3 linked regions of the Ovis aries genome follow. The protein of the gene in region 1 purifies or fractionates together with the protein of each later gene. This does not show direct contact. Links are inferred from orthologs where the notes say so. Each region holds a gene or a part of one and is shown in the gene's direction. Other genes may lie near its edges.

Evidence for each region.
Region 2: the proteins of MCMBP (region 1) and MCM3 purify together in Homo sapiens (affinity purification with mass spectrometry; 10 studies listed by BioGRID and IntAct, counting the BioPlex papers as one, with this or other methods). This does not show direct contact. The link is inferred for Ovis aries from reciprocal best matches to the Homo sapiens genes MCMBP and MCM3.
Region 3: the proteins of MCMBP (region 1) and MCM8 purify together in Homo sapiens (co-immunoprecipitation; 3 studies listed by BioGRID and IntAct, with this or other methods). This does not show direct contact. The link is inferred for Ovis aries from reciprocal best matches to the Homo sapiens genes MCMBP and MCM8.

Annotation. Positions count from the first base shown.
Region 1 is NC_056075.1:39,499,799-39,504,074, reverse strand, and holds the start of MCMBP (mini-chromosome maintenance complex-binding protein), read left to right. Parts: upstream 1-1,429; 5' UTR 1,430-1,708; coding exon 1,709-1,766; intron 1,767-4,276. Other genes in the region: SEC23IP (SEC23-interacting protein), read right to left, coding at 1,073-1,256. UniProt on the Homo sapiens protein: Associated component of the MCM complex that acts as a regulator of DNA replication.
Region 2 is NC_056073.1:24,373,844-24,377,931, reverse strand, and holds the start of MCM3 (DNA replication licensing factor MCM3), read left to right. Parts: upstream 1-1,179; 5' UTR 1,180-1,277; coding exon 1,278-1,355; intron 1,356-2,398; coding exon 2,399-2,511; intron 2,512-2,863; coding exon 2,864-3,072; intron 3,073-3,807; coding exon 3,808-3,938; intron 3,939-4,088. UniProt on the Homo sapiens protein: Acts as a component of the MCM2-7 complex (MCM complex) which is the replicative helicase essential for 'once per cell cycle' DNA replication initiation and elongation in eukaryotic cells.
Region 3 is NC_056066.1:47,865,335-47,868,980, forward strand, and holds part of MCM8 (DNA helicase MCM8), read left to right. Parts: intron 1-1,759; coding exon 1,760-1,949; intron 1,950-2,690; coding exon 2,691-2,783; 3' UTR 2,784-3,646. UniProt on the Homo sapiens protein: Component of the MCM8-MCM9 complex, a complex involved in the repair of double-stranded DNA breaks (DBSs) and DNA interstrand cross-links (ICLs) by homologous recombination (HR).

The DNA of each region.
Region 1 (4,276 bases):
GGGAAAAAAAATCTTGCCATAGAGAAATACTCTTATGGACCTTCCCTTGGCCTTTTAAGTTTTCATAACCACTCATTAGTAGTGTCAAAACATCTTGGGTGAAATTATTCACATTATTTCAGTAGGATCACAGTGTCTCTTAAAGTTAAATCTGAACAATTGTCTACAAATCACTGACTACAGAGGGAGAAACCAAAAGCTGAAGTGTTCTTAGCCACTGCTGAATTGGTGTCCAGCTGCAATTTCATATACAGCAAATTGAAATTATTATAATTTAAAAGATTGTATGTCACAAAGCTAAATAGGAGATTTCTCTATTCAATACCAGGAATCTCGAGCCCTTCTAAGCTAAATGAATGAATGAAAGTAGTAATGCCAACGATTTGAAACCGTTTTCTCAGCTCACCCAAACTCACAAGAGCCAGATGTATAGTATAATATGCCAATCACAGTCATCCCTTGGTATCAATTGCAGGGAATTGGTTCCAGGAACAGATATCTGAATGCCAGAGTTTCTTATGTAAAATGGTACGAAATAGTACAGACGACTCTGCGTGATCAGGTCTCCATAGCTTCAGTTTCCACATCCGGGTATTCAACCAGCCTTGCCCACCAGATTCAGAGGAATGTAATTAGTTCACAGTGACAGATACAAAATAAACCCTTTTGCCCTAAGGAGGGCTTGAGATCCGAGTTCAGTTCTCCAGCTCCTCACTTTTTAGGGAGTGGAGATGATCGCATTCGGATCATCCTTCTGTTAATACGCTGTACTTCAGGTTATGAGAGGGAGGGTTTTTTCCGATATATTTCAGATCTAGGGGCTGTTTCATTATAGAACTTGGATATTTTCCAAATTTCCTCATTCAAAGGTTACTATTAACCAGATCTTTTCTGTGTACAGATACCACTGTCTTGATCCAGTCGAGGGAAGACTTGATCCAGTGGAGGAAAGTCATTACAGGGGGTTTCTAGCACGGAACCAAACAAAAGAGTTGCCATTGGCCAAAAAAAAAAAAAAAAAAAAACCACTAAGAGGCGGGACGAGGTGGGCAGACACCAGAGGCAACGTTACCTTCTAATTTTGCCCAGAGATAACTTTGAGGTCTCTTTGCGCTTGTGCTCTTGGACTGTTGCGGTCTCCGACCTGCGCAAGGCCTCGCCACTATAAACAGATAAACCAGACATCGGGAGTTTCTCCTTTGGAGTCTGCAGAGGGACACCGAGCAATATGCAGCCCTCAAGTAACCACGCGGCATGCTCGCGAGGCCACCCCTGCCCTTCCCCTCGCCCGTCTCCAAGATGGCGACCGCCCTGCCGCCGCGGCCCCGCCCCGCCGAGCCCCACCCCCTCTCCCCGGAGCAAGGCCGCCCCGCCTCCCCGCCGCGGGGCCGCGCTGCGCGCTCCCGCCGCCCCTCCCCGCACGAGCTCCACCCAGGTCGCCGGCAGCGCGGTCGGCGGCGGCGGCGCCTATTTCCCGCCATTGTGCGAAGTGGAGGCTGGGGGCCCGCACGCGCCGCCTGCCCGTGGCCGGCAGCGCCTCACAGCCGCCGCCTCCGCCGCCGTTCCCTGAGGCGCGGGGAGGCCAGGCGGCCCGCGCCGCGAGGCTTTCCCTGCGTGGGAGGGCGCGGGCGAGGAGCGGCCGAGCCCCCGACGAGGAGCAGAGGCGCGCGGGACGCCCGGGCCGCGCCGGCTCCGGCCAGTCGGCGAGATGCCCTGTGGGGAGGATTGGCTCAGCCACCCGCTGGGCATCGTGCAGGGCTTCTTCGGTGAGTGGCGGCGCCCGGGGGGCGGGCGGGGTCCGGGCGGGCCGCCGAGTTCACCGAGCCCCCGGGGCCCGGACCCTGCCGCGCGGCGCCCAGGCGGGGCCGCCTCGAGGGCTCGAGCGGCCGAGACGGTCAGCCGGGCCTGCGCCGCCGGCGCTCGGCAACCCCCTCCCGCCCGGAGAGTCCGGGCCGCGGCTGCCCGGGCCCGGGCCGCAGGTGCCTCCCACCTGCCCGATTCGCGACTCCCGAGCCACCAAGGTTACGGCGCCAGGAGCCGGCTGCCGGCCGTGATTGACGGCCTCGCTTCCCCCTTCGTGGCCCCGCGGGCGGACCCTGAGCCCCGCGTGCGGCCGGACTCTGGGGTTGGGGGGTCCTCGAACCTTTCGGGAGGACCCGCAGAGATGTGCTGAAGGGAAAAGCACTTTGCCTATGGGAAGCCCGCAGGACATTTCAAAACTTCCGGTGTGTGGGGGGAGTGCTCGCGTGCTTGCTCGCTCGCTGCAGAAGTTGGCTGTAACTCCTGGGTTACACACATCCTCCTTTTTCGAGATAAGATTTCGTGTGATAACTTAGATTTTTTTCCGTTAGGACACCTTTAAAACATGTCTCGTCTCCCCATCTCCTCTTGGGCCAGAGCTAGCAAGAAATGGTGAACGAACTCAGATGCGTTCCTGCATAGAAAGAGCTTAGCATGTGGCAGGCAAGCTCAGGAAATTTCACTTGCAGTCATGGTTAATGACACTTTTCGGGTAGGGTACACAAAGAAAAATTTAGGTCTGGTTGCCGTTCACTAGGCATTTTGGCCCCACCCCGCATGTCTTTTGCACTCAGGAGTGGTGGAGGCAAACCCAACCGGGAATCAGTGTGTAAGATCAGAACACCTGACTTGTCAGGAGGTAACTTGAACTTGGAAAGTGGCCTTCCTCACTTAAGACCTTGTGGAATATTAGCGTGAACGCTTATTAAGAAGCTAAATAGTCCGCAGCAGCCAAAACGGATGGCAGAAAATGTATTTCTTGCAGGAAAGGCTCACTGAGCAACTCTATTCGTTTTCCTTGTGATTTGAACTTGTTCAGTTGTCTGGTTTCCCAGGCTGAAACTAGAGGCAGCATATTAGGAAAAGCCCTGGGTAGGCATCCAAATTGTAGCCAGTGAACACTGACAACCTATTAAAGGAGAAATTTCAAACTATGTACATAGTGTTTAAAAAAATTTTTTTTAATCCCTGTATATCCATCCAGGGCCCTTTTCAAAAAGGGGCATATGTCTCTCTACTAAATCCTGGTAATTGATGCTCATAATGAATACTAGAACCCATAATTGTTTTCCAAAATAATGGCCTTTAAATGTGGAGTGAAGATTAAATTGCACAGTAGGTTTAAGAGGGTGCAGACACAGAGACACTTTTTAGGGAAAATCATTCAAAAGTAAGTAAGTTTTGGTGCTTAATTGATGTTTAGAAAATTTAAGAGAAATATCCATGTCCTAGTCTGGCTGGATAAATGAGATGATTTTATATTTAGTATATATTTGAATGTATTTGTGTCAGATTTTGTCTCCTGCTTGTAGGACCCTAAGAGGCAAACAACTCATTATAGTATAGTAGGTGTAATTTGGATATAAAATGCTGGCTCTACAGTATTTTCTGAAGTTTGTGTTTTGTTGATGACCTGGACCTTGTTGATGTGTTTTTCCTCTAGAATGTCTTATTCTCATACAGATTGTGTCTTGCAGAGAAGAAACTAATCCTGTCTTACAGTCATGATGTTTTTGTAGAAGCTGCTTTGATATATAATGTATATTCTTGCTATATTTTCCTATCACTGTGAATATATGGGATTGGATAGCTTTATAACAACAACATTACAGGTATGTTTGTGTGAGAAGTGAGGTGTTAAACTTGTAGACTCTTTTTGGTCTAATAGGAAATTGTTGTAAATCCATTTTCGCCCAGAGAGAAAAGTATACTCATCTTTTGTGGTTTATGAGGCCTTTTGGCCCCACCCCTGCCCAGCTCTGGTGTCTCAGTGGTAAAGAATTCACCTGTGATGCAGGCGACCCTGGAGATGAAGGTTTGATCCTTGGGTCAGGAAGATCCCTTGGAGAAGGAAATGGCAACCCCACTCCAGTGTTCTTCCTGGCGAAATCCCATGGACTGAGAAGGCTGGCAGTCTGCAGTCCATAGGGTCACAAAGAGTCAGACACAACTGGGCAGGCACATTGCCCAGCTCTCAGACCTCATCACGGTATTCCCCCTCACACTGAACCTTCTTCCAGTTCTCTGATCTTAAACCACGCCACTAGGCTTTCTGCATAGGCTGTTTCCTTTGCCTGGTCAAGACTTCCTCTCCCACTTCTGTTTTCCTGGCTAAATCTTACTCTTCTTTGGGAACCTGAGTTGGGTAACTTCTGCTGCATGTAATTATAGGATCCTGTGAAGCCTGAAAATTAACTTGTAAAGCATGTTGTTGAAATCACTCGTTTCCTGGGTTCCTTGGCTATGTTTTAACCCT
Region 2 (4,088 bases), on another chromosome or scaffold:
GAAGAATCGATGCTTTTGAACTGTGGTGTTGGAGAAGACTCTTGAGAGTCCCTTGAACTGCAAGGACATCCAACCAGTCTATTCTGGAGATCAGCCCTGGGATTTCTTTGGAGGGAATGATGCTGAAGCTGAAACTCCAGTACTTTGGCCACCTCATGCGAAGAGTTGACTCACTGGAAGACTGATGCTGGGAGGGATTGAGGGCAGGAGGAGAATGGGACGACAGAGGATGAGATGGCTGGATGGCATCACTGGCTTGATGGACGTGAGTCTGAGTGAACTCCGGGGGTTGGTGATGGACAGGGAGGCCTGGTGTGCTGCGATTCATGGGGTCGCAAAGAGTCGGACGCGACTGAACTGAACTGTGACTTGCTAATAAGGGGAGAAAGCCTTTAACTTACCAGCTTGCAAGTAGGATGGTGTAGTAATTACGTCCACAATTTCGTGTAACATATATAAGGCCATCTCGGCCGGCAGCGGGAAGTGGGGGTGAGAGTGGGTAATATCCCGACAATTTTTCTCTCATTTTTCCCTCCTCTCCGGCTTGGTATTTTTATGAGGTACTTCAGGCCCCAGTATTCAGTTAGCAAACGAGTCACTGAACTACAGAACCTCTCCAAAGATGTTATGAGTCTATTTCCCCCTCTGATTCTCGAAATTCACTTCTCCCCCGGCATACCACTAGAGACTGGTTGACTGCAAAACATATCCATACACAACTGATTTGAATATATTTTTTAAACGACTGGCCTTTATGTTTTTATCGCCCTGCGTTCTAAACCTCTGCTTTCCGACGTCTAAGCTACTTTCAGTCCAATAGCGGAGCTGAGTTTCTTCACTCTTTAGCGGGGCAGGTAACCACAACTTGAGATAAAAAACCACCAACGTTTGTAAAATTACAGGGGAAAGGGGGACCACTACAACTCCCAGAATGCAGCTCCTGGGTCTCGCGGGCTCTCCAATGACCAGGTTTCGCGAGCATCCTCTCGTCCAATTGGTCCGCTTTCCTGTCAGTAAAGGCGGAGAGGGGAGGGCGCCGGATGGAACATTTCCCGCCACCGCGAGACGCGGCGCGGAAAACCCGGAAAAGAAGCAGCTCTCGATTGGATGCTCGCTGTTGTAGCGTAAGAAAACCAGCCAATCGGAATGTACATACGCTCCACGCTACCCCGCCCCCTTGCTTGAGGTTACTTTTCTTGGCGGGAAAAGTTGGGAAGTTTTCGCGCCGGGGCTTGCCAGCCAATCGCCCTCTGCGCAGAAATTCCCGGTCCGCGAGCATGGCGGGGACGGTGGTGCTGGACGATGTGGAGCTGCGAGAGGCGCAGAGAGACTACCTGGACTTCCTGGACGATGAGGTGAGAGAGGCGCCGAGTCACGAAATTAGGGTGCTCGGAGGCCCAGGGGCCGCGCAGGAGCCGAGAAAGGCCGCGGAGACACTAGGGGCCAAGGGAGACCGCCGGACTCCAGGCTGCGGCGGAGGGGCTGCTGCTTGGGACCTTCCGCCTCGATCTGGTAGCTTTCCTGGCGGCGGAGTCAGTGGTTAAGAGCGATTCTGTAATTTTTCTCTCGAGTACAAATGGTGGCTAGGTCTCGCGAAAGTCAACAGGTTTTCTCCAAGTGCAAACCAAGTGTAAAGCCCACGTTGACCTTTTGGAGATCGTTCCCTACTCTCTTAATCTGGGGGGAGAGTGGGGGAAGGACCGCGGGAAAACGATAGTGACCCGCCGCGTTATAGGCCTTCAGGCTTTAGTGACTGACTTCCTACCCGGAGAAAAGGACGTTCTAATTTTGCCGCATTCTTTTTCCATACCTGATGGGAAGCGGAGAAAGAGGGTTGGTACGCAAATAAAGGGGATTTTATAGGCAATTTTGGATTGACAGCCATGGAATATTGGTAAAGCATCTTGGATTGATAGTGCTGTGTTTGTAAATGTAACTAAGGCTCCCAACTCTTAGGTCCCTTATATGAGAACTCCTTTTCTGTTATGCAGATGATAGGGAAATAAAATATTTTAATTAAATACAAGATTCTGCAACGGAAAGTTACTTTGATATATTAAAAGTCCCTTTAATTTACATTTTGACAAGGTTTTTACTTGTCTTTTTAGACTTCTTAGAAGCTCATTTTAATTCCCAGTTAAAAGTTAAGAAGTGATGCGTGGGCACAGAAGAGCTGTTGGTGATAATAGGAATAATGAAGAAGTCGTTATAATTTATACACTGGCTTTTTAGGGTGCATTTGGAATCGGAAGCTAATGAGTGAAAATGTGGGTGAAATGGGGGCTCAGGTCTGCCACAGAGATTGATATATTTATCTTGCTGTGAGAGCTGCCTCTCTTTAAAAACATCCAGTTTTTGAACTTGTGAGCTGCTGTAGCATGCGGTGGTTATTTTGCAGGAAGACCAGGGAATTTATCAGAGCAAAGTTCGGGAGCTGATTAGTGACAACCAGTACCGGTTGATTGTCAACGTGAATGACCTGCGTAGGAAGAACGAGAAGAGGGCTAACCGGTGAGTTTCCAAGAGCGCATCCCTAGTTCTGAGTGAGAATGGCTCCTTCTCTTCCCTAGGTTGGAGCAAGCTTCCCAGGGGAGGACCTGGATGAACTATATTTGACCAGGAAGCCCTTAGTACATCACCCTCCCCTGCTTCTGTGTTTTTTACTTCTTCGCTGAGTATCATTTCCCCATCACTGAGTTATAACTGGCCCGCAGCTCTGATGTACTTTACTGGGCCTTGTAGAATGGCAGGAGAAAGTAGAAGATTTTTCACTCCTAAGCTTTGATCAAGTAAGAATGTCCACTTCTGTTTTGTGGGTCAAGTTTTTTGAAATCTGTGGTCTCTGCCTGATGATTCTTTGCAGCCTTCTGAGCAATGCCTTTGAGGAGCTGGTTGCCTTCCAGCGGGCCTTGAAGGATTTCGTGGCCTCCATCGATGCTACGTATGCCAAGCAGTACGAGGAGTTCTACATAGGCTTGGAGGGCAGCTTCGGCTCCAAGCATGTCTCTCCTCGGACCCTTACCTCCTGCTTCCTGAGCTGTGTCGTCTGTGTGGAGGGCATTGTTACTAAATGTAAGTGGGCTACAGTTGGAGACCCACGGAATGGAGGTGGGGTAGACTTGGGGGTATGGAAGGCAGGAGAGGTGGAGTAGGTTGGGGAGCTTGCTGCTGCTGCTAAGTCGCTTCAGTCGTGTCCGACTCTGTGCGACCCCATAGACGGCAGCCTACCAGGCTCCCCCGTCCCTGGGATTCTCCAGGCAAGAACACTGGAGTGGATTGCCATTTCCTTCTCCAATGCATGAAAGTGAAAAGTGAATCACTCTTAGCGACCTCATGGACTGCAGCCTACCAGGCTCCTCCGTCCATGGGATTTTCCAGGCAAGAGTACTGGAGTGGGGCGCCATTGCCTTCTCCGAGCTTGGGGAGCTTATGGCTTGAAAAAGGTGGAGCGCTGAAATTACCAGGTGAAACTTGAAGAAACGCAAGTTTTGCACAATAACTAGGGGAGCTTTGAGTGACCGCCTGTGCCAGCGGAATGGTGAATCTGCCGAGAATGGAGGAGTCTTGGCTCTTGGCAGTGAGTCTCCTCATTCTGACCCTGAATTCCTCCTGCTGCTTGGTCGGGATCAGCGGTACTTTAAGGTTTTACCTGGATATGGTGTTATTCTGTGTGTAAATATAAAAATGAATTAACAGTTAGTATTGGGATAGCCCCACTAGTTGGAAGAACGTAATTTGGAGTCATCATGGACTTGCCTGGGTCAGATCCCCTTCTTGCTGTTTAGTTGGGTGACTTTCTATTCCTAGGCTCTCTAGTTCGTCCCAAAGTCGTCCGCAGTGTCCACTATTGTCCTGCTACCAAGAAGACCATAGAGCGACGTTACTCTGATCTCACCAACCTGGTGGCCTTTCCTTCCAGCTCTGTCTATCCCACCAAGGTGAGGGGAATGAATTAGTCGGACCTCTTCAGAGGTTGGGTTCAAAGTTGTTTTTTAATGCAAGTAATTAGGTAATATCTAAAGTCTTCCTCTAGATGTAAATAGGGTGAAAAGTAAGGATTAATTTGAAGGAAGATTGCTAGCCATAGT
Region 3 (3,646 bases), on another chromosome or scaffold:
TCTGGGAGTTGGTGATGGTCAGGGAGGCCTGGCATGCTGCGATTCATGGGGTCCCAAAGAGTCGGACATGACTGAGTGACTGAACTGAATAGGATTGCTGGAAGGGCTAAATCGGACACATGGTTCAGTTCAGGTCATTTGCTCAGTCATGTCCGACTGTGTGACCCTATGGACTGCAGCACACCAGGGTTCCCTCTCCTTCACCTTCTCCCTGAGCTTGTTCAAACTCAGTGTCCACTGAGTCAGTGATACCATCCAACTATCTTGCTCTCTGTTGTCACTTTCTCCTCCTGCCTTCAGTCTTTCCCAGTATCAGGGTCTTTTCCAGTGAGTTGGCTCTTCTCATCAGGTGGCCAAAGTATTGGAGCTTTAGCTTCAGCATCAGTCCTTCCAATGAATATTCAGGGTTGATTTCCTTTAGGATTGACTGGTTTGATGCAAGGAGTGCAAACCAGTGCTTGGTAAATAAATACAATTAAGGTATACTAGCTATTATAATTGACATAGTCGCCTAAAGCATTTGTGACGACTGTTCTATGAGAAATAATATGGTAAATTATATGGTATGGTCTTCCCTGGTGGCTCAGTGGTCAAGAATCCACCTGCCAATGAAAGGAAGATCTCTTGGAGAAGGAAATGCCAACTCCAGTATTCTTTCCTGGGAAATCTCATGTACAGAGGAGCCTGTACACGAGGCTCCCCTGGCGGGCTGCAGTCCATGCGCTTGCAAAAGAGTGTGACACAACTTAGTGATTAAACAACAAATAACACAGGAAAGTAGTTCATTATTAAAAAAAATTATGCTATATTTCTAGGGAATACACATATTCATCTAATTGTTTTATTAGTTACTACAGTCTTATTTGGATGACTCATTCCTGTATGTACAGCTTATTCTCTTTCATGTGGGCTCTTACCTATTCAGGGAACAAAATGAAGCTGTGTTTTTAATAACCCTTTAAATTCATAACTATAAGCTCCTTAAGGGCAGGAATTGCACCTGTTTTGTTCTACCATGGGAAGCCTACTGTCTAGTGACCAATTTATATTTGATTAAGTAACTCATTAAATACCATCTTTGCCTCTGAGCCTGGCTGTGAGATTATATATAAGCCGAGAATTAAGGGCAGGCAATCAGCAACAGGGCTGGACTAGAGAGGATGACTAAGCTCTAACTGGTACTTTCAGACTTCTGGCTAAAATTCACTGTGAATTATGTATTTCTTTCCCTGATTATATTATGAAAATAAGAAGAAAGCAGCAAGAGCTGGAGAAGTAGGTGTATCCTTTAATATCTAACCATCATTACTGCAACTCAGCAGAACCTTTCTACTTCATCCCCAGAGTATTTCTAACACATTTTATTTGCCAGATGCTGCTCTAGGAGCTGAGAAGACATCTTTACCAAGGAAAGCCTAAATTTAGTATGTTTAGTTTTTTTTTTTTTTTCATGAATCAAAGAGAATGTTCCAAGTATTTATATTGTAGCCTGTCAACTTTGTATTTTTATGCAAAAATTCATTTGTATTTCTCTTTCTAAATATAGGGAGTTTCTTAAAAAGTGGTAGCTATGTCCAAAATATTGTTATCCCCGACCAGTCCATACATGGTTAATTCACAATCACCGCTCAGTAAATACATGTTTAAATCTTTGTTACCTGAGCCTCAGGGCTATTTCCACATTTTTCTTTTTATAACTTGGACAAAAATTTCTGTAGCTGAAACACACTGGGTAACTGTTTTTCTTTCCTTCTATAAGCATGTTAGGAACTTACTCTGATGAATTTGGGAACCTAGATTTTGAACGATCCCAGCATGGTTCTGGAATGAGCAACAGGTCAGCAGCAAAAAGATTTATTTCTGCTCTCAACAATATTGCCGAAAGAACTTACAATAATTTATTTCAGTTTCATCAACTTCAACAGATTGCCAAAGAGTTAAACATTCAGGTATGATAAAATAAATAATTAGTAAATCTTTTTATAATAATTTCAGGAGGGCTTTATTAGTATAGAAGAACTTTTAAACGTCAAAAGATTTAGACTAAAGTTATGGAATAGGCTGTTTTGGAGTATTTAAAACACACGCTTGTTTTATTTAAGATATAAAATTAGTTGCTCAGAGCTTTAAAAAAACAGTTTTTATCTAAAATTCAAACTTCTTTTCAAAAGAGTTTTCAACATCTTGATAGGAGAAACATAGCAAGTTTCCATGTTATTCTGACAGTCTGTGTGGGCAAGTCATGTTACACATCATTGAACCTCAGTTTTCTCATTTGTTACATGGACATGATTCCACTTGATCTAACTACTTAAAAGTCTTAGTGAAAATGGGTATAATAGCACTTTATAGGTTTTTATTTTTTCTTTCCAGGATTCATAATAGCACTTTAAACATGTAAAACAGTTTGTATGGAAAATTGCTCATTCAATTTCAAAAGTTGGTCTAATTTTTATTTTGAAGCTAAGCTAAAACAAATATAAAAGATTCTATGCATACTGGAGTTATTTTTGATTAGCTAGGTGTTATAGAATCCAAGTTTTGTATGTAAGCAGCTTTCTCTGTAAGAAGTACAAATGATTTTATTTGCCCAAAAAACTTGACAATTGTATATTACTGTTTGAGAGATTAATTTTAAAAATCACATTTTTTGCATATATTTAACAGGCTCTTTTATTATTTTCTACTAGGTTGCTGATTTTGAAAATTTTATTGGATCACTAAATGACCAAGGTTATCTCTTGAAAAAAGGCCCAAAGGTTTACCAACTTCAAACTATGTAATAGGACTACCAAGCCAGGCTGTCCTGGGTTTGTTGTGAAGAATATGCAAAAAAAAACTGTTCTCTGAAAAATGACATCCCACATGTAACAGGAAAAGAGAGTTGAACCAATTTAAGAAGTGATAAAATCATGTGTTAATTTTTTACTTCTCCAGAAGACTAAAAGTATTTTACATTTTATCTAAATGATGTAATTAGAAGTTATTTATAGTTTTGTTTTTGACCTTTCTTTTATTCTTATAAATACTTTATGGTTGTGCATATCAAATGTTCATCTGCGTAAACAGTCACAAGGTTACATTTAAATATTTAAATAGTTCTGACACACAAAATTGAGCATCTCATAGAAATAAATTGATGCCAACTTTCAATTCCCCAAAATTTTGGAAATATTGTATATTGACTTTTTTTAATTTAATTTTTTTCTTTATTAGCCGTGCCTTGCAGCTTATAGGATCTTAGTTCACTGACCAGGGATTGAACCTGGACCCTTAGCAGTGAAAGCATGGAGTCCTAACTATTTGGACGGCCAGGGAATTCCCTTAGCTTTATTTACCGACTTTGATATATAACATGATATAAGCTTCATGTGTAATTAGACTTCTGTATATACTATTTCCTCCTCACCTAAAGTCTAGTGTCCATCCATATACTGACATATTAAGCTTAACATCGTAGCTAATGAAAAAAATTTAAACAGCTGTGCAAGACTGTAGCAGCCTCTGTTCCACTCATCCACATGCCCCAGTTTTCTGTTCAGTCGCAACTGATCTCCCATTTACCTCCATTTTTCTAAAGGACATGCTACTAATGCTAATTCTTTTTTTTTTTTCCTTAAAGTATACTTGATACTGTGTTAGTTCC